4 linked regions of the Oryzias latipes genome follow. The protein of the gene in region 3 interacts with the protein of the main gene of each other region in a biochemical or structural test. Links are inferred from orthologs where the notes say so. Each region holds a gene or a part of one and is shown on either strand. Other genes may lie near its edges.

The links.
Region 1: of the proteins of nup62 (region 3) and ogt, one has a biochemical effect on the other in vitro, tested with the Homo sapiens proteins (2 studies listed by BioGRID). The link is inferred for Oryzias latipes from reciprocal best matches to the Homo sapiens genes NUP62 and OGT.
Region 2: the proteins of nup62 (region 3) and nutf2 form a complex in vitro, tested with the Homo sapiens proteins (3 studies listed by BioGRID). The link is inferred for Oryzias latipes from reciprocal best matches to the Homo sapiens genes NUP62 and NUTF2.
Region 4: the proteins of nup62 (region 3) and kpnb1 form a complex in vitro, tested with the Homo sapiens proteins (2 studies listed by BioGRID). The link is inferred for Oryzias latipes from reciprocal best matches to the Homo sapiens genes NUP62 and KPNB1.

What each region holds. Positions count from the first base shown.
Region 1 is NC_019868.2:18,365,336-18,370,858, reverse strand, and holds the start of ogt (UDP-N-acetylglucosamine--peptide N-acetylglucosaminyltransferase 110 kDa subunit), read right to left. Parts: upstream 3,410-5,523; 5' UTR 3,084-3,409; coding exon 3,047-3,083; intron 1,731-3,046; coding exon 1,550-1,730; intron 1-1,549. UniProt on the Homo sapiens protein: Catalyzes the transfer of a single N-acetylglucosamine from UDP-GlcNAc to a serine or threonine residue in cytoplasmic and nuclear proteins resulting in their modification with a beta-linked N-acetylglucosamine (O-GlcNAc).
Region 2 is NC_019864.2:24,337,133-24,342,715, forward strand, and holds the start of nutf2 (nuclear transport factor 2), read left to right. Parts: upstream 1-2,070; 5' UTR 2,071-2,174; intron 2,175-2,196; exon of another isoform or gene 2,197-2,352; intron 2,353-3,384; 5' UTR 3,385-3,395; coding exon 3,396-3,494; intron 3,495-5,583. Other genes in the region: tsnaxip1 (translin-associated factor X-interacting protein 1), read left to right, coding at 1-97, 250-363, 809-892. UniProt on the Homo sapiens protein: Mediates the import of GDP-bound RAN from the cytoplasm into the nucleus which is essential for the function of RAN in cargo receptor-mediated nucleocytoplasmic transport.
Region 3 is NC_019879.2:22,072,884-22,078,358, reverse strand, and holds nup62 (nuclear pore glycoprotein p62), read left to right. Parts: upstream 1-1,777; 5' UTR 1,778-2,093; coding exon 2,094-3,596; intron 3,597-3,690; coding exon 3,691-3,849; 3' UTR 3,850-4,003; downstream 4,004-5,475. Other genes in the region: pdk1 (pyruvate dehydrogenase (acetyl-transferring) kinase isozyme 1, mitochondrial), read right to left, coding at 81-265, 341-412, 491-632, 776-884; itga6 (integrin alpha-6), read right to left, coding at 4,952-5,116. UniProt on the Homo sapiens protein: Essential component of the nuclear pore complex. The N-terminal is probably involved in nucleocytoplasmic transport.
Region 4 is NC_019866.2:166,369-171,377, reverse strand, and holds the end of kpnb1 (importin subunit beta-1), read left to right. Parts: intron 1-265; coding exon 266-396; intron 397-488; coding exon 489-636; intron 637-717; coding exon 718-789; intron 790-1,433; coding exon 1,434-1,578; intron 1,579-1,642; coding exon 1,643-1,725; intron 1,726-1,798; coding exon 1,799-1,906; intron 1,907-1,979; coding exon 1,980-2,123; intron 2,124-2,201; coding exon 2,202-2,307; intron 2,308-2,349; exon of another isoform or gene 2,350-2,487; intron 2,488-2,566; coding exon 2,567-2,681; intron 2,682-3,398; coding exon 3,399-3,560; intron 3,561-3,632; coding exon 3,633-3,633; 3' UTR 3,634-4,570; downstream 4,571-5,009.

The sequences.
Region 1 (5,523 bases), on a different chromosome or scaffold from region 3:
GCAAAACTCTTGTCAGAACTTTGAAAGAAGAGGAGTTGGAAAATCAGGAGATGCAGGACGGTCTTCATCCCGCATGCAAGTAAAACATTTATGTACAAAAAAGTGCCAAGGATTAGATTTACCAGAAAAGTGTAATTTTAACTATTGCTGTCATGTTTCTGTGGTACTCCGATTTTTTTATTTACTTTTATTGCATTGCTGCATATCTGTACCAACAAAGATGTATTTCAGCAAACATGCTACTTGCATTGTTTGTGTTACACAAATCATACAGATTTGTCATTGATTTACATTAGGGCAGCACAAAATGAGGAACACTCGCAATATGCGGTATTAGTGATCAATATCATGACGATGACATAACTTACGATACATAAAAAAATGGAAAAACAACCAAAAACAATTCCCAGTTCACTGGTACAGTTTAATTTAAATAAGAGTTAAACGTAGTCTACATAGGAGGCCAACATCTAACATAACAGATCCGATTGGTCAAATGCATTAAGGGATTTTTTTGATTCGTTACATACTTCAGGCTGCCATAAGACTGTTTTAGCACATTTAAGATTACCATTCATTGCAATTTTGCGGTCTTTTGCTATACGCGTATTGCACAGCTTGATATCGCAATAATGATACATTTGTGACTTATTGTGCAGGCCTAATTTACATCATGCTGTCTGCATTCTGACTTTCTTCTAATGAGAGTGGATATAAAAAAGGAGTGTTTTCTACAAAAGAAGCACCCCTCAGATTTGTGACAAATGTAGAGTTGGCCTGTGCTTTCAACTGGAATAAAACTGCCTCAAAGTCTGCCATATGATCAAAAAATGTCCCTTCTATGTTTGCAGAAGCTGTAGAAAAATAAAATACAATCGTCCAGACAAACAAAACTGCTTGTGCTACTTCAAACGAGTTAACAATAATTTCAAAACATTTAGATCAGTTAATCTAGGTTTTTTATAAGAAAAATAGTCATTACAGTTATTACAATTTGAGTAAATTTGGAAGTTAAATATGTACTGAATAAAGAGGCAAAAGACTTCACTCTAAAGTTTTGAGACAATTTATTGTTAATTAAAATAAGGCTGGGGAGGCCAATTACAATAAGCTTTGTGTTGACTTTAGTTCAAGGTTTATCAGTTCTGTCGGTGATTAGAGTGAAAATACTAGGAATAAATGTGTTGCATGATTAAAATTCTCTATACTGGAAACAGTATGGTAGATGCTGATTGTCGATGATTTGTGACTTACCTAAAATCATATCTATTTTATGTGTTCTTGTCAAATTTACCATCTCAATTTTATTTAGCATCTACTTGAAAACAAAAACATGTTTTCATAACTGGAAATAAATTCAGGTGTCAAAGGATTAGGGAATCATCAATAGAGGCCTCTTTAAGAAGTAGAAATAGCACCTCAGCTAAAAAACGGCTGGTTTCTTCTAACAATAAAGAAAGTGTTGGAAATACCATTTCTTGATCCTTTCATTTGTAAAGCCCTTCCATTCTGCTGCTCTCATTTGCCAGCCTGTATAAAGTGTTCTCACCTGTCAAGTCTTCTGCACTGGAAGTGAATGGAGGACAGCAGCAATAACACTCCAGTATTATCAGGCTCCTGCCTCCACAGCTGCATGCAGTGGCGCTCGGCCGCCTCAAAATCTCCTGACTGATACTCCCGGTGTGCAAGCTCAGCCAACCCTTGGAAGGAAAGCATACGTTTTGTTGGTTCTGGACAACCAACACAGGCCAAGGAGGGGGGAAACGACATGTTAGAGGTGATGAAAGAAAATAAAGACGACAAATGAAAAAACAGGAAGAAATAAAAATAGAAGCAAACATGACAATGTTTGTATTAAAATAAATGCCTGACAAATGTAACTTCAAAATGTGATAATGGGTAAAAATGATGACGTCACAAGAGGGAACATAAGGGGGACACTTCACAACTTTTATACAAACTATAAGCATCTGTACATATAAATTAATTACAATTTAATGTATATAAAAAATGCACACTGACGCTTTTTTCCAACTAAGGAAACGCATAATTTATATGTCAGACTAGCTTTTCCAAAATGCAGAGTAAACGAAAACGTTATTAAGTCTATTCGTCATCAAACAGGTGCATCTTGATAGAGAACAGGGAGATTGTGGCTCCACCTACTGTAGCATCTACGTCACTGCTACAAGCTTTTTCCAACAGCATTTTTATCATCTGCTGCTGCTAATTCACGATTGAATTTTAATCTTAAATTTCTTTACATATCATCCATTATAAGAAAAATGCTACACGAACAAGTTAAAAACACGATTTTCATCGAAGTGGGTCTTTATTGTGGGGGTGGGGTGTGTGGAAAAAAACTGCACCACAACGCACGCAAAATCTGCTAATAATCGCGTTAAAGTTAGTTTATCGTTAAAACTGAGCTTGTTCGTCATTTTCTAATTTTGAAAAACATATATCCCTAACATTCGCCGTCCCTCCCAAAAAAAAATGAATTAAAAAATAAGATATCTTTGAAGGCATTTTAGTAGGACACTTCATTTCAGCGCCCTTTATTGCAAACCGAAACGCCCCTTAGCTGGCGGCCATTTTCTCAGACAAAAACCACGAGATAAATGTTCAGTTTAGGATTTAAAAAAATAAAATGTATGAACATAGTGACGCCCAAGGAGGAAAAATGTTGCAGCGCCAAAGATTTAATCGTTTCCTACCCATTTAAACGTCACATCTACAAATACCAACGCTAGCTCGTCTTGACTTAATACTGTTTAGGTTAAGACGCCAAATGAAGGAATATTCGGTACAAATTGGCGAAAAATATAATAAAATAGCCTTATTATAATATATCTATTAATACATATAAATTGGTACCGTGGTGTTAGAAGAGCGGCGCTACTGGTTTACATACTAGCATCCTCATTTACCTTATTGCTGTGGATTACCAAAAGGGTCATTGTTAGATTAAAATTTACTTTTAAAAACTATTTTAAATCGTTGCTTCTTTCTAAAGGAGGTGCTTTTATTTTTTTGAGCCACTAACCTGTACTGTCTGCCACGTTTCCCACAGAACTCGCCATCTCCCCAGCAGTCTTCGTTTCTTGCACGGCGGTCGTCAATGTGTCGTCTGGGAGCTCACAGCTTCAGAGAAAAATAGATGTATTTCTTATAACTAACTGTGGTCTTTCTGAGACGAAAACTGAAAGCACGTTGTTGTCTGGCTAGGTAGACCGGGTTATAGTTACCTACTAATCTCGTATTCAGAATAAATTTCCTAAAGCCCTACCTTAAAATGCCGCTGTTTGGGTATATTTACACAGATAATGTAGTTACTGCACCTACATATGACATAAAAAATATACCGCTACCGTTCACGATATTCTATCTGCACAACAAAGCAGCTAGTGAACGTAAAATGGCGAATTGGGTGGAACTCGTTTTTGTGATCAACTAGATCCTGACACCGGCATTGATTGAAAATAATAGTTGGGCATTAATACATGTGACTATAAACCCAATATACATTATTATTTTTATTGTATTAAGAAGTTATACATATACATATATATAACCTGATGTAAAATTATACACTTAAGGTAAAACCACGCGGAAGAATACAATGGTGCAGTGAGACTCAAACGGTAAAAGGAAGCAGCACTGCTCGGAGGTATCTGAAAGAGTCACGTGTCAGCTGTGCTGCGAGGAAGTGGAAGGTGCGCTGGTCTAGTAACAAACACATCAACATTACATAACCGTGGGTTGTTTGATTTCTTTTTATTTTCTTTTAGTTCTTCTTGTAGTTTTATTTATCTTTTTATTTTATTTTAGTTCTTCTTGTAGTTTTTATATATATAGACACACACAAAAAACATATTCAAATACACACAAAAGAAGTTCAGATAAGATTTGTAATTCCAGGGACATTTAACAGGTGTTAGCTTTTATTTTATTTTTAACTGCAAAGGGTATTTTCTTAATGTGTAAAGCAAGCATTAAATGTACAATCTACTGTTAAATATCTTTCCACATAAATACTGTTTACTAATCCTTACTAGTTACATATATTTTGTCAACTGATTTTTTTTTAAACTGTAGCCTGATGGATAGAGTTCTGGTTAAATCAACATCAATTGCTATGTGAAGGAAGTTGCCAACAGGCTCAGTTTACATTGAACATCACTGACAGGATGTGTTTGCACCAGAATAACTATTCTTCTAATCTTCAAGTCCCGAGCTTAAACAACTTTATTTCTATTTCTTTTTAAAATATTTCTAGGACTTGCAGTATGTTTATGGTTTTTTTCAACCAAGCAATTTTCCTGCAAGATTAATCGACATCTTCTAACACATCTTATTTTTTGCCAATATTTAATGTTTTTCCTTAATATGTTTTGCCAACATTGATATCCAAACATAAACCCTTGTTTTTCTTTTCTTAATTATGTTTAAATTAATTAGTTTTTGTTTTAACCAAATGTTTTTTAACCCTGTTTTTGCAAACAGCAAATGTACATTTAAGATAAAAAAACAAACAAACTCCTGTTTCTGACATATTAAAAATGTTGCTGGTGTGCTGATGCTGTGATCTGTCATAAATTTGCAAATAAACCAGTTTACTGCAAATTTTAAAATCTACTGTTTACCCTTTTTTCTCTACTGTTTTAATCTATGCTCCTATGCATGCATGCACCATTTTTGTTGGTTTTTTTAAGTGTGCATGTACATGTATGAATGAATACAAAAAATGCTTTTTTTTTTTCAAAAGCACTATTTAAGGAGTAGCTACTCAAATTTTGTTGCAGGAATACAATGTCAAATAAGGCATTAATGATTCTGAATATTAGTTTTAAAGTAAAATATTGGATCAAATTTTCATGATTCATTGTTAATACAAATGAATACTTATACCAATATTTTGCCATTATTGGAACAAGACAAACAAATCAGAATGCTGTTTTTTTATTTATTATAAATCTACTTAAGTAAAATGGAAATATCTGGGTTAAATTTTCTCTAAAACTAAGGTTTACATTTCTTAATTTTAAAATGTTATTACAGTCAATCTATCTCTTTAAACATAAGTATGTATTACAAACTCTCGACACAGTCGAAAGTAGGAAGCAAAAAGATAATTTCCTGAAGCAAACATAACTGCCAAAAAAATGTGATGATCAAAAGTGAAAATAAATAAAATGTGTCTTAGAATGTGGCTTCATCAGCAGCTCTTCCTTTGCTTCCTTGTTTCTCCTGCTTTAGCTGCCTTCCCTTCATTTCTGATCGAGGGCGTGTCTGTTTGCAAAACAAACCCGGATGTGCAACACAGCAGTTCTCACAGAACCTGATTTCTATCAAGTTTTCCACATACGTTTGTGTTCTTGTTGTGTCGAGAACAGGCACATGTTTCTCTGTTTGTCTTTGATTATCACATGTTTCTGAAAAGGGCCCATGCGGGTCTACCTGAAGCCCAGAGTGCTCCAGATGTTATCCAGTCATTGGTTTAGTGTCATGCTTTCTCCTTTG
Region 2 (5,583 bases), on a different chromosome or scaffold from region 3:
TGAGGAGCTCACCAGGATCAAAGCAGAGTATCGGGATGCAGTTCCACAACACGACTGGGATGCCCTGCAACAAACCCACCAGCGGACTGTTCTGCAGGTTCTGGGTCTTCACTATCCCTCACTTCCAAACCTTTACACACAAAAATTATGTTTTATGAAATTAGAACTCTTAATTTTCTGACTTTAGAACCCATTAACATGGATAGTTTTTACATCCTAAATCCTAATCAAGTTTGTTGCGTTGTCCAGCTAAAGACTCTGCAGGGTGACTTCAAGTTGATAAAGAGTGAATACGATACCCTGCTGGAACTCCATAAAAGTGGCAACTTGCAGCCCAAGAACCAGGTGTCAACCTCTGTGCAGGTAATGTGCTTTATCGGCTCTTGTCTGGTTTGTCTGGTTAAATCTCAGCAGGTTCAATCTGATTCAAACCAAACTTCCCTTAAAAAATCATGTAGTTCAAACAGTTCCTTATCTGGGGCGGTGATTATTATCCTATAAAAGCTCTAACAAGGAGGAAAAATGTAGAAATAGGGGCCATAACTTGTCCCCTGCTCTACTCCAAATGCACATGGCGTTTAGCCTTGGCTTCCCTTTGTTCACTTCAGCTCTTTGGTTCATTGGAAATCCTCAGCAGATGAACTAAAATCCTTGTTACTATGCCAACCGTGGTTCTGGTGATCTTTGACACCTGTCAAACAAACTGGACCATCAGTGGAAATGTACAGATCAAGCTTGCCAGTGTGAGTGCACTTTTTCAACAAAATGTTCTTCTTAAAGCTCAAACCAGTGGTTTGTTCTTTTCCAGACGGAGGTTCATGTGGATGAAGAACAGGAAACCAAACCAGAACAGCTCAATAAGCTGATCAACCTCCATGACCACAAGGAGTAGCAGGCTCATGAGTTCAAATTACATCAATATATTCACACAATTTAAACACACACAGTGTGTTGCTTCAGAGGGGCGTGAAATCTATGCCATGCCTTTTGTAATTGTTTATTATCTTATCTTAATTTCTTTTTTTTTTTTTTGCTTTCGGAGTCTCTTCTTATCCACAAGTCCTGCATCATACATACACTTTTCATTTCTATTTAGCACAGCTCAGAAGTACTGATTAAAATGACTTTTTGCAATTTGATTATTGAATTCTATCTTTGCACTGCAACCAAAATATGATTTTTAAGAACCGAAAATAGTTTTACAAGAGTGAATTTAAACACTAACAGCATGGTGTGTCTCAAAAACCAGAGAAACTGAAAACATTTTCCTAATAAAATCAAATGTATATACAAAATTGTTCCAAATGTTTCCTGGGGCCCAGGACACAACTGTTACATCCCACCAGCCCACTGAACAGCAATAACTGGCTCCCTATTGGTTTCCTAAACCCACATTACGACCACACTCAAATTCCTGAGCAATGTTTTAAACTAAGTTAATGATAAAAAAAGAAAAATTAGGGGTATTTCAGGAATTTTTGTGGGTTTTAGGCTGACTCCGTGGCTCTCACCATACCATCCACTAACTCCTAGTTTTCTGTCTTACTACTTTATGATGTAACATTTAGATATCAGTTGTTTTATGTAATTCATGTTCATAAATTTGGACAGAAGATTAATTGTGACTTTTGTAAACAAAACAAAAAAACAACAACAAAAAACACTGATATATTTAAATTGTAAATTTTGATTTTCTGACTTTGGGTAAAGAAATATTTTTAACTATTACTCTTTGACATCTATATACAGGTATCCCTATTGTTAGTGTGTTAAAAAATGAAAATACTTAAGACATTTCCACTCCCTTTTTTAAATTCCTATTTGGGTTTTTTTTAATTCACGGTCTGACCAAACTGTTAATTCTTATTTAGAGAAAGTGGGACACTCAGTGCTAGAAAAAAAAGACATTTCTGTGCCTCTCAGTTCTGGGAATGATGGATTAAAATAGCTCAAAAATTATTATTTTTAACAAACTAGTGGTTTTTGATGTTTCCTATCTTGTATCATAACTGTTTGGTCGGCGTAATTTTGGAAAACAACGGGCACTTGCTTTTAATTCTAATTTACTACAGTCCCCACAATACACCGGGGCATTTACGGCTCTGTACGTGCTCTCGTAACGTAGAAGATATCGAACTGTACCATCACGCAGCCGGGGTCGGCGACAGTGAGAGGTAAGTTTGCAGTACTTGTGTGCACATTAGTGAATGGAAACTCTTGCGAAACTAAACATTTGCAGTTTGGATGAAGGTTTGAGGAAAGTTCGCGATGTCTTTGTACTTCCACGCGCCGTCTCTTTGGGGCCAACGGACGGCGGACACTCCTGTGTGTGTCGTCTCGCCACTCCTGCTGGTGGGTGTTCCAAAAATATGTGCGCGGGCCCACAGGAGAAATCAGCACAGTGCTGACAGATATTTTTAGAAGCCGGTGAGAAGGCCTGTCGGTCTGTCAGGGAGACAGCGAGGCAGCCACCGCCTGAGAGAATAATTTCTCTACTGGCTAACATTAGCACCCGTTGAGTTAGCAAACAAGCTAGCAGCGGCTTCCTCATTATGCTATCTTTAAATACGAACTTTTCTACTGTTGTAGCATTTGTTTCTCTAAGTAGTATTTTATTCCTTCACTGTGCTGTCCTCTTTGTGTAAGGGGGTGTGCACTTTCTGCAGTCTCGTGCCCACCCGGGTTTTTCTTTGCTAATGTTTAGCTAGCATAGATCGTTCCAGCAACAACCGTGCGCCGTTATGAAGGAGCACGTGACCAGTGCTGTCATTTCCGCGGTGGGACCCGATAGGTGGCGCTCAATCAAACAAACATTCACCGGCCACTTTATATGTACAACCGTGACAGCATTATGCATTTACGAGATTTTAATTTGTTTTGTGGGAGATAGAAAAAATTCACAGCGGTAATTAAGTGATGACACTACCTCGAAAACAGTAGAGCATCAGTGGGAAGTGGCCTCCCCAAAAAACAGCTGACTCCACTTGAGAATTTCCCACTTCCTTATTTGTTTGCATCTATTATTCATTATTCTAACTAACATTTCACCAATTATCATGTCTAAATAAACATGTATGAATAAATCTCATCAGGGGGAAAAAAACAGCTCTTTTAGACAGGAGCGACAAGTTTCTGTTACAATGACATTTACTGTTGTGCATTAGATGAAAAGAAAAGATCTATCAACAAAGTTAAAGAATAAAAAATCTAATTAGTCACTGAATACTCGCGTAGAACGACTAGCAGAATGTCTTTCTGCCTCCTAGAAATTAAGCTGGGAGTTGGATCCACAAAAGAAGAGTCTGCTAGCTGAAGTCTCTGACTCCATTCTGGTTTTGGAAACTTTAAGAATGACCAGTAATCATCATCCCTGTTGTGTTGCAGGGTGATTCAGGATGGTGGACCAGCCTCTGTGGGAGCAGATAGGATCCAGCTTCGTGCAGCACTACTACCAGATGTTTGACTCTGATAGGTCGCTGCTCGGATCCATATATGTGGGTGTTTCTGTGTTTGTTGCTGTGTGTTTTCCTTAACTAAATCAACAATTTGTGAAATACTTAAACCTATGCTAGGGTTTTCCATGCAAAGATGAATAAATAAGAATGATGCACAAACATTAAGCATATGGAAACTTCAGCTCTTAATGCTACCTTTTTGTAATTCTCACTTTTTTTCAAAACTTAGTGGTTTATGACTGAACATATTTGTGATGGTAAAAGGCACTGTGGTTTTGTTAGTTGGGTTATGTTTGACGTCTAAAAATATAATTGTATCTGATCTGTAGCCAGATGTTCAGTGAATAGCAAAGCTACACCTTTAGATATTTACATCTCTCTATTAATAAGAGATCTGGTCTTGTACACGATGACATCAATGTCAGTGACTGTTCATTGGTCAACAGTCATGTGACTGCATGCCTTTCATACACACCCACTACTGCCTGAAAAGTATACAAGTAACACAAGGAATATTTGAGAACAGTCATTCCACGTGTGTTTGTTTTGTTTACAGTAAACTAAAAAGGATCCTCTTAATAAATAAAAAAAATTAGAAACTGTTTCGTTAATCTACTGCACATAAATCATTTAGACTTACGCAGAACTATCTAGAATACTGGAAACGGCCATAGAAGAAGAAATGGAGAGTTTCGTTGTAAACAAAGCTGTGGCATAGAGCGAGTTAATCTTCTAAACATGCTTTTATTATTGTTATGATTATTATTAAGTACCTGTTCGCTCCTAATTTTCTAAATGTGTGTGGCCAGTGCTTTATTGCTGGCTGCACGGAACCGGTGTAGGTACCACAACCGTTCGGCCTGGAACTTCCGTTCGGGGTCCTTTCGACTAATGGTAATGTCACACTACGGTAACCCCACTTAGACAAACTTTGTAGCGTCGACATCTGCTCGGGCTTTACAAATTTTCATTTCACGTTCCATTTTGTAACCTAAAGTTATTTTCCCTCATAAATCGTATCGGACAATATTCTTTGTAATTTTTATAAAGACATGTTGCCACAATCCACTTGTTATTCCAGTTTAAGTTCAGCCGTGGCTGAAAATGTTGCCGGCACGGCTAAATGTTCTTCCGGGACCGCTCTGCCAATGATAAAGCACTGGGCGCACGGAAAAAAAAACTATAAGCAAACACGCATTCAATAATAATCATAACAATAATAAAGGCACGTTTAGAAGAGAATTTCGCTTTATGTCGGAGCGCTGTTTGTTTACAACAGACTTCATAATATTTTCTTCTATGGTAGTATCGTAATTTGTCAAGACCAATGACTATCTGACACGTCATCGGACCAACCTTCAGCCAATCGCATAATGTGACATCAGCATTAGTCCGAGGACCCCGAACGGAAGTTCCAGGCCTAACGGTTCTGGTACCGGAAGAACGGTTATGGTACCTACACCAGAAGAAGAAGGGTTAGGATTGGGCTAATACGTACTAACAACATTTAGCCGTGGATGAACTTGAAAACTCTGTGCGGGCAATGCCGCAATGGGCATCTTGGCTGCATGTAAATATGTGGGAATAACATCCGCCTTTATTTTGTCTGGACATGATTGGAAACACAAATTCACATGATTGTTTATACGGTTTCTCAGGACTGTGTGGAGTTGCATTTCTGCATTCAAAAGCTGCCTCCGCCAGTTCACACATCGTTCCAAAGCCACTCCTCTCCTCAGAGACACCGTTCTCCCAGGAGACACTGTTCTCCTGGGTCAGTCTGCTTGCTCACAAAGAACAGCCAGACGGACTGCGGTCCGAAGCCTCCTCCGGAGCGCACACCCTGACACCTAACCACCTGCTCGCAAACAAGAAGCTATGAGTCGGTCCGTCCTGTTCGCGCTCCAAAGCATCCTCTGGAGTGGCACACTGTTTACACATGTTAAAACAAGCGCAGCATTGAGCCACAATCGGATCAAAAATTAGCATAACCCACCTATCTCGATCAGAAGGAAATTTTGATCCGAATGAGTCTGGTTGGGGCAGAGTATTCCAAACGGCGTGTTTACATGATGCATTTTTATTCTGATCAGGCGTTTATTCCGATTACTTTTGTCCATGTAACCAC
Region 3 (5,475 bases):
GAATTCACTTCCACGTGCTTTTGAGCAATACAGCAATGAGGTGAACACCTAAGAGTTCTGTTAGCAAATGTTTCACTCACTGTGCTGGTTCAGCAGCATCCTGATGGATATTCTACTCATGTAAAACCGATCCAGAAAATACTGAACGTTCTGGCTGACGACTGGGTCGGTGCCGTAGGTTTCCTTATACTCCACGACGCCTTGAGCCATGGTGGGAATCACATCGTTGTGGCGGTTTCGGATTTTGATGACTGCATCTGTGAACCTGATCAAAAACCCGTTACAGGTTGAATGTGTAAAACCAGACTGTAGAACTGGTCCACTAGTAAAAACGACTCACTCATGTGTGACTTTTTCATTGTCTGCATTTTTGTCCTTGAATTTAAGGATGTCCTGGAAACTTTGCATATACCTAGGGATGGAAAATATCCATAAACGTGTGTGCAAACAGAAAACTCATAGGAAAATATTAATAAAAACAAAAGCACACCAGCTTTGGACCAAGCTAACTGATGAAGTTCTCAGCAGATTATCTGGCAGCAAATTAATTTCCTTCATGATGTTTGCCAGCCTCACAGGGAGCTCTTGTCTGAGGAAGGCGAAGGATGTTTTCTCACATGCATTTTCAGAACCTGAAGGAAGACAAAAACATGGAGGACTTTCAAAAATACTTTAAAGTATCCTTTAAAATTCCAACCATAAGCTAGAATACACACACATAGAGAGAGGGGGAGTAAATTACAACTATATTTAAAGCATCTAAAATTCATTTTACCAAAATCCAGAAACTGCTTCATGGATAAAGGCGAAGGAGAAAACTTTGAGTAATAGTCAATGTCCTTCCCGACCGCCACGCTCTTCCTCAGGAACCTTAAAAGCCTCATGTTGCTCTCCGGCCTCGACTTGATCAGATTTCAAACACACACGACACGTCCGAATTCTTATGGCGCACGCGGCCACAACAATAAATATGTGACGCTTGTTGACACACTAGCTTGTTGGCTAAACTCAGCAGTTCGCCCGCACGTTTGCGATTATCGACCGTGTTTCCACTTGGACTGAATTCCTGCTGCAGGCATGGTCACAGACGGACTAAAGCATCATCCCTCACTTCGGACGTCCTCTGTAAAATTCAGTCAAAAGTCAACACGGCAAACGCACCCACTCCGCAGCTGAGCTAGCAAGTTCAAAGAGTTGATTCGACGCCGAGAGAACAACGCAACTATTTTGCAGTAGTCTTTATAAAATAAAGATGACAACTTTTATGCAATTTAAATAGATTATTCTTCTGCTTTTATTTTATGGTGGTTGGAATACAACTTTTGGGATGTTCGCCACCTACAAATTGATCACTTTTGGTTCCTAACCCGCATATCAGATGGGTTAGATTAGACCGCTAAAAACACCACTAATGTAGAAAGTAATACATATTTGCGTGACAAATAAAATATATGTTGTTTTACTTTAAAGCGTTTAACAACAAAACGAATTTATATAATTTTAATTATTTAGCAAAATGCAAGAGGAATTATTAACATGTAGTTCATATCTACGACACTAAAAAGTGCGTTCTGTGCATCTCTTGTCCTCTATTAACTCTTTGACTGGTTGAAATGCCGTCGCTCTGATCCCCAGTGCTTGTCTGTAAGGTTAAAAAATAAAAACCAATCAAATGTCAGCATTTTTCATTTCGGCACAGTAATTTGGTGTTAAGGATGTCAATCTAAACTAGAGGGTGGGGCTTTTTCTCTGACAGACAGAATTGAGGGCAAAATTGCATGTTGAAAGTGGCGTCACTTCCTTTAGCTACAACAGAAAGTATGCTCAAAGAAACGTTTGGTCAGTTACCCACGTTTTTTTTAAAGATGCTTCGCTAGTATTATTATATTTACCGGCACAGTGAAAGAATTAGTTATTAGACTATGATTTAAAATATCCGTGGCTAACGTAAGAAGTCCTCTCATTAGACGGTTTTTCTTCGGTGAAGCTAGTTGAACCGGCAGCTCGTGCTAGCGACCCGCCAAAAACTGTGGTGAAAGATACCATTTTGTTCGTAAGCTGTAAAGTCATTTTGTTTTTATCAGAGGAAGAACATGAGTGGCGGATTCAACTTCGGGCAACCTTCGGGTTTTGCCTTCGGAGCGCAGAAGACCACAGCGGCCGCTCCGGCCCCGGGCTTCAGTTTAACGAACTCCACGGCTGCGGCTTCGGGAACGGGCTTCTCTTTTGGCACTCCGACTCAGAGTCAGACCAACGCCAACCCGACCGGTGGCTTCAGTTTTGGCGCACCGGCTAAGAACTCTTCCGCCGGCGGCACCGGCTTCTCCTTTGGCACACCCAACGCCGCCGCCGCCACCGGCACGTTCGGCCTGGCCACGACTACCCAAACCACCGCCGCCACTGGGTTGACCTTAGGCTCCTCGGCCGCTCCAGCTGCGGGGTCCGGCTTCACCCTGGGCGGGATGTTGTCTTCGCAGACGAACAGCGCCGCTCCAGCGGGAGGGGGCTTCAACTTTGGGGCTACCTCCCAGGCCCCACCCGCAGCGACAGTTGCACCTACAACAACCACCGCATCAGGTGGCATGGCTTTCGGAGGGTTCAGCTTCGGAGCGCCGAAAGTCCAGGTGACCTCAGCTGCAAGCACAACCATCGCAGCGGGGGGAGGAGGCTTCAGCTTCGGGACCCCTGCCCCCTCCACCCTCACCCAGCCAGCCCCAGCAGCTGCAGCTCCAGCAGCTCCAACCCAGGGTGGAGGGTTTAACTTCGGAATTAAACCCTCATCAACACCAGCTCCTCCCGCATCCACCCAGTCAGCCCCCACCCAGTCAGCCCCCACCCTAGGCCTGTCTCTGTTTGCGTCACCTATCATCACAACCTCTGCAGCAGCGCCAACTTCAGGTTTTACTTTGGGTGCAGCTCCAGCGTTGTCAACCAGCATGGCAGCATCCACAGCTGCAGGTACAGCTCCATCCTTCATGCTCAAGCCTCTGGGGTCCGTTGCCAGCACAGCAGCAAACACCGGCTCCACCACCACCACAACAACTGCAGCTGTCACAGCTAATGCCACCGCAGGCTTCACGCTGGGATTCAAACCTCCGACCATCTCAAGCTCCACAACAGCCTCCACAGCAACAGCCGTTACAACCACCACCACGGCCCCTCCGGTGATGACCTACGCCCAGCTGGAGGGTCTCATAAACAAGTGGAGTCTTGAACTTCAGGACCAAGAGAGGCATTTCTTACAGCAGGCAACTCAGGTCAACGCTTGGGACAGAATGCTGGTGGAGAACGGGGAAAAGATCACGTCTCTGCATAAGGAGATGGAGAAGGTGAAGCTGGACCAGAGAAGGCTCAACCAGGAGCTCGATTTCATTCTGTCCCAGCAGAAGGAGCTGGAGGACTTGCTTTGCCCTCTGGAAGAGACTGTGAAGGAGCAGAGCGGAACCATCTACATGCAGAACGCAGACGAGGAACGCGAAAGAACATACAAGCTCGCTGAGAACGTGGACGCCCAGCTGAAGAGGATGTCACAGGACCTGAAGGAGATCATTGAGCACCTGAACACATCCAGCGGGCCGGCAGACACCAGTGATCCAGTAAGATCTGAGCCTTTTTTTTTTAAATCATATTTCTCATAAAATCAAGTCTTCTGCTGTTTTAATCGCCTTCCTTTCTTTTTGAATCCTTTAGCTTCAGCAGATTTGCAAGATCCTGAATGCTCACATGGATTCGCTGCAGTGGATCGACCAGAACTCTGTCCTGCTGCACAGAAGAGTGGAGGAAGTGTCCAAACAGTGCGACACCCAGCGCAAAGAGCAGGAGAAGACCTTTCGTCTAACCTTTGACTGATTTGTTTTTTGGCTCAGTGCTTATTTTTCCCATTTTGCTTTGGATTTTCTCCTTTATTATACTTCTATTGTGTGTTGCAAAACTATTTTAAATGCAATCATCTTTATAATTGTATCTACCTGAATAGAATGATTAAAAACAAATTTTGAACTTTTTTGTGTTTTCACATCCTAATTTTACCTGTTTTTTATCTATATTTAGGATTGAAAAACATCTAATGACAAGATTTGTTTCTTGTTCTAAGACTGATGTTACCCCTTGTGCTATCTTAGATGACCCCACCCTTACATTGACGTGTTCTCCCTACCATGACAAAGGTGGAAAGATTTCATGTAATCCATGGACACCAGTGAAGATCACAAATCATTGAAGAAAAAAGGTTCAGCGCACTGTCTAGTGGGTCTAGATGACCCCACTCCCAATGTTAAAGTGCCTAGGATAGCACAAGGGTTAATACTTGCAAGGTGGATTTTCAATTAGGATGTTTTTGCTATGACACTCGTTTGAAGGGGAATTGACTTCAGCATTTGTTTGAGTTTTGTCAAAACAATGTTTTAAACTTAATTTACGGAGAAGCTGAAGATGTTTTTTTTTTTATATAGAAAAGGAAGATTCATTAGAAATAATTCTTTAAATTGTTTTATATATGACAAAAAGAAGCAGTTACACCCATAAAAACAGTCTTTTTAGCACATTCCCTTTGGATTGAATAAAAATAAAAACAATCCGATTCAGTGATGATCTAAAGTACAGTGGATGCTACCTGAACATCACAGCAGTGAGAGATTTCAACTTGACGGGAACACAGGCGATGAGTAAAATGACATCATTCCACAGTGATGGACTTGTACCTTTGCATAGATTTGACAACAATAGCATCTCAGCTGTAAACCTGTTATTACGAACCTTTGGCACCATGTTTTTTTTTATACAAAAATAAATACAAAATGTGCAGAAACCATAAAAAACAAACAGCACATAGAAAAATATATCTGTACAGTGTCAAAATTCAAGGTACTGAAACCAGTAAATCCTGGATTTACACATTAAAAATGATGTCAGCAGAATGATTGATTATTTATCGAACAAATGATCTCAGCTTTCAAGAGTAACTTTCACTGTCCATCCATGATGTCATCCACTGCTTCTTTTCAGTAACATCAGGTTTGAGTTTTGCATCTTCACGCTCGACACTCTCCTTCCTTATCCGCACCGCGTGGTACTGAGGAACGCTGTCGTCCTTCTGGGAGCGCTTGAAGAATCCGCACTGGTGACACAGGCAAAACATGAGATGAAACAGGAAGGCAGGTGTGGATCCTGACATTAAGCATGCTCTTGCTTAGCGTATTTTTGGAGTCCAAGCAGACAAAATGCTGACAGGCCGCGCATCGACAGAACTGTGCACAGGAAAAGCACCGAAATGTGGGCAAAATTCAGAGACACATGTGGCACCACTGGAAAGCATATTTTGTCAGTGGTTCATTCATGCTGGATTGTTTTTAAATGACTTCTATCGTGTGGTTAGTAAAATTTGAGTCCGGCTGAATTTGTCCCACATCACATCTGCAGATGGAGCAGAAAGGTAAACTCATGAGCAACTGCAAAAGCACGCTTCATGCTAACGTT
Region 4 (5,009 bases), on a different chromosome or scaffold from region 3:
ACACGTGTGCTCCTTCCTCCAACACACACACACACACAGTCATTGTACAACACCTATATGGTTAGTTCCTTAGATAGTTAGTAGTTAGTTGTGACTGTTATTCGTTAATAAAGAATCCCAAATCCTCCAGCGCCCCCTGCTGGTTCATCACAGCGGTGATCAAAAATCCCACACCATCACAGCTCTAGCGCCACACTTGCCTGGTGTGTATGCGGCTTAACGGGCGGCGCCGCTGTGAGACGCTGATGGCTTTCCACCCCCTCAGGCCTTCTCGTCTCTGGCGGAGGCGGCGTACGAAGCCACGGACGCGGCAGAGGACCAGGAGGAGCCCAGCACCTACTGCCTGTCCTCGTCCTTTGAGATCATCGTGCAGAAGCTGCTGGAGACCACCGACAGGTACCGCCTTCCTGGCCGTGCAGGAGCAGCGGTCTCAGCGGCGCTCCGTCCCGTCTGGTTGGTGTGACACAGTTGTGTGTTTGTTGTGTCAGGCCTGATGGTCATCAGAACAACCTGCGCTCGGCGGCCTACGAGGCTCTGATGGAGATCGTGAAGAACAGCGCTCAAGACTGCTACCCCGCCGTACAGAAGACCACGCTGGTCATCATGGAGCGCCTGCAGCAGGTCTTGCAGATGGAGGTAAAACTGGAACCTGGAGAAGAAATGAACAGACTCAGGAAGTCCACTGTAGTCTGTTGTGATGCAACTTCCTGTGTTTAGTCCCACATCCAGAGCACCTCGGACAGAATCCAGTTCAACGATCTGCAGTCCCTGCTCTGTGCCACGCTGCAGGTAAGACTCAGCACTTCCTGTCTCACTGTGGCGGTCTCTGGGCACTTCCTGTCTCACTGTGGCGGTCTCTGGGCGCTTCCTGTCTCACTGTGGCGGCCTTTGGGCACTTCCTGTCTCACTGAGGCGGACTCTGGGCACTTCCTGTCTCTCTGTGGCGGACTCTGGGCACTTCCTGTCTCACTGTGGCGGCCTCTGGGCACTTCCTGTCTCACTGTGGCGGCCTCTGGGCGCTTCCTGTCTCACTGTGGCGGCCTCTGGGCACTTCCTGTCTCTCTGTGGCGGTCTCCGGGGGCTTCCTGTCTCTCTGTGGCGGACTCTGGGCGCTTCCTGTCTCACTGTGGCGGCCTTTGGGCACTTCCTGTCTCACTGTGGCGGACTCTGGGCACTTCCTGTCTCACTGTGGCGGCCTCTGGGCGCTTCCTGTCTCACTGTGGCGGCCTCTGGGCACTTCCTGTCTCTCTGTGGCGGCCTCTGGGCACTTCCTGTCTCTCTGTGGCGGCCTCTGGGCGCTTCCTGTCTCACTGTGGCGGCCTCTGGGCGCTTCCTGTCTCTCTGTGGCGGTCTCCGGGGGCTTCCTGTCTCTCTGTGGCGGCCTCTGGGGGCTTCCTGTCTCACTGTGGCGGTCTCTGTGGCGCTGTTTGCAGAACGTGCTGAGGAAGGTGCAGCACCAAGACGCGTTGCAGATTTCCGACGTGGTCATGGCGTCCCTGCTGAGAATGTTCCAGAGCACGGCTGGCTCTGGCGGCGTGCAGGAGGATGCTCTGATGGCCGTTTCTACTCTGGTTGAAGGTATGTTCACGTGCACACGCCTGTGCATGTGCGTGGCGCTCCGATAACTCCTGTGTTTCTTTAGTTCTGGGCAGTGACTTTCAGAAGTACATGGAGGCTTTCAAGCCCTTCCTCGCCATCGGACTGAAGAACTACGCTGAATACCAGGTGAGCCCGCCTCTCGGACGCTCTTGGGGGTGAAGGGTGAGGACGGCCTGAGCGTCATGTGACCTCGTTGCAGGTGTGCCTGGCGGCTGTGGGGCTGGTGTGCGACCTGTGCAGAGCTCTGACCTCCAACATCCTGCTTTACTGTGACGAGATCATGCAGCTGCTGTTGGAGAACCTCGGGGTGAGCTGAGACGCCACCGCTCTTCCCAGACAGGAAGTGGGTTCCCGCCCTCATTGGGGGTGTGTGTGTGCAGAACGAGAACGTGCACCGATCCGTGAAGCCTCAGATCCTCTCGGCGTTTGGAGACATCGCTCTGGCAATCGGTGGAGAGTTCAAGAAGTATCTGGACATCGTGTTGGACACCCTGCAGCAGGCCTCGCAGGCGCAGGTGGACAAGGTCAGGAGCGTGCACGTGTGTGACCTGCAGCACACCTGCTGACATGCACAGGTGAGATGACGATGACTTGTGTTTCAGACGGACTACGACATGGTGGACTACCTGAACGAGCTGAGGGAGGGCTGCCTGGAGGCCTACACCGGCATCATCCAGGGCCTGAAGGGCGACCAGGAGAACGTGCACCGTAAGAGCGCGCTCGCACACCCCTTTGGTCACATGACAGCAGCGACGGCGGTTCCTCTTCCTGTCTGAAGTCAAGCAGGAGGATTTTACGCCGTCGCAGAGAACTGTGGGTCTTTTCACCCAGAAAGCTGCAGGTGGAGCCCGCCAACACGGCTCTCTGGTTTTGTGGGACCCCACAAACATGTAAACAAAGATGTAAACAATCCAAGCCAGACGTAAACAACAGATGTAAGCAGATGCTCCGCCCTCTTGTTCTGCAGCGGACGTCATGCTGGTGCAGCCCCGGGTGGAGTTCATCCTGTCCTTCATCCACCACATCGCCGAGGATGAGGATCACTCTGACGGAGTGGTGGCCAATGCTGCCGGCCTGATCGGGTGAGGGGCGGGGCTAGAAGGAAATGAGGCGTCTAACAACCTGGCTCCAGGCTAAATTGGAGTTGAATTGTTCTGAAACATTTTCTTAAATCCTTCAATGTACCGTCTATAAATCAGTAAAGAGGCTGTTATAAGCAGCCGCAGGAAATACTGGAATGACAGAAACGACCAGAAGATGCTGCTGCTGCAGATGCAGCTGCTGCAGCTTCTGCAGCTGCTGCAGATGCAGCTGCTGCAGATGCTGCTGCATTCACTTGAATGCAGCAGCATCAGCAGCAGCTGCAGCTGCTGCAGATGCAGCTGCTGCAGATGCTGCTGCAGCAGCTGCTGCAGATGCTGCTGCAGATGCTGCTGCAGATGCTGCTGCATTCACTTGAATGCGATGCTGCATTTCCCGCCGTTGTCGTGTGTAGAAAATCTACCTGCACGAACAAGTGGGGTTTGAACAGACCCTACTTCCTGTTTGTGCGGGGGCCTTGCTACATTTGTTGGGACCAAAGACCTGGTGGGTGGCACTGGGTCTGACCATGGACGGTTTCCGAGAACTGGACTGAGTGACTCCTCCCCCTGGCGTTCCAAACAGGAAGTAGCTGCAAAATCCCACAGACCTCTAGAGAGAAATAAACAGCGGTGACTCTGTCATTCTATTGGTCGGTATGGCTGTAGCATGTTGACTCTCACAGTAAAAGCCTCAGCATGGTCACTTGTCTGTCGCAGCGACCTGTGCACGGCGTTTGGAAAAGACGTGATGAAGCTGGTGGAGGTGCGCCCGCTCATCAACGACCTGCTGACGGAGGGCCGGCGCTCCAAAACCAACAAGACCAAGATGCTGGCCACCTGGGCCACCAAGGAGCTGCGCAAGCTGAAGAGCCAGGCCTGGTGAGCGTCCGACCTCTGACCCCGCCCTGCTGCGCTGCAGCGGCGAGTTCACGTGTGTCTGTGTGGTTGCAGATGGGGGGCATTCGTGACATCAGAGAAGCTTAAGGATGAACGGCGCCGGACGAGCGTGTTGGAGCGCCGCCGGCTGCAGTGAGATGAGTGTCTGTGTGAGCGCGATGATGACATCACCACCTCCAGTTCCAGCAGGCCACACCCCCACCACCCCTCCCCCTCCCCCTCGGACAGCCTGCCGACTGGACTCTATCCCCGCCCCTGCAACAAACCCGCCCCTCTGCTCGTTTTCTAGCTGGACCCCATATGACATCATGATGATGTCACCGGCCCACTGCTCCCAGCAGCAGGGTGGGGGGGGTGGGGGGCTGGACCACTCTGGACTTCTGGGTTTTTGTCGCTCTTCTTTTTCTTCTTCTGAGCGCGGTCGTGTGCTCAGACCCCGCCCCCGCCAACAGCAGCACTAACCCGTACAGGTGAACGCAGAGGAGCAAGTGCCAAAGGAACGCGGCGGCGGTGGCGGCCGGACTGGAGCTTCAGCCCCGCCCCTGCTGCTCGTGGGAGCAGTCCCTCAGCGTTTGTGCGCGTTGACACGATTTCAGAGAATTGAAGACGTTTGTAAAGGTTCTATTTTTCCATTGCTGTTAAAAATAAAATGTTATCAAACATTCCCGAGCAGTGCTGTGATTCTGGCTTCCTGCGGTCCACGCCCCCCCCACTGGACTTTGGAAGCTGGACTCCGGACGCCCTAAGGACTTTTTTTAGTCTACTGTTGGGGGGCCGTTGCGGTCTGGGTAGAGCTGTCTGGATCCTGTGGTTTTACCATCAGTGTTCAAGCTGCACTTGTGTGGGCTTTTATTTTGAAAAGATGCTGCAGCTGTAGGGAGAATGCACTTCCTGTGTACGTGAACCACATGCTGGATTGTTGCATTGTGAATCACTTGAAGCCAGTCTTCTTTTCAACTTTAGTGAACTAATAAAGTCTATATTGTTCTGAAGTTCTGCTTCTGTCGTCGTGATGAAGACGCTGGTGGACCTGAAGGTCGGCGACTTCCTGGAGTCTGAGGCTGTTCATTAAAGCACATCTGAAGTGTGGTTCCGTTTGGGAACCACAGACTCTGCTGGGCCACCAGAACCGAGTGAGGATCCAGGAGATCCTGACGGAGGCCAGCCGGGCCGGTGAGGCTCCACCTTCTGAAGTGTCTGTTAAGTGTAATCCTGACCTCCTGTTTCCTCTGACCTCTGACCCCTCCATATCACTCTCATACAACGGGACTGCCCCCCCCGGGCGGGGGGGGGTTGAAAGTGAACCGACAGCTGGTCATGAACTGTAACGTGACCTGTGGCCTGGACTCTGCGGCAGCGGTCTGGGGACCTACAGAGCCGCCCTTTGGCGCACTGATCCATGGTGATCTGTAGGATCTGTAGTGATCCGTG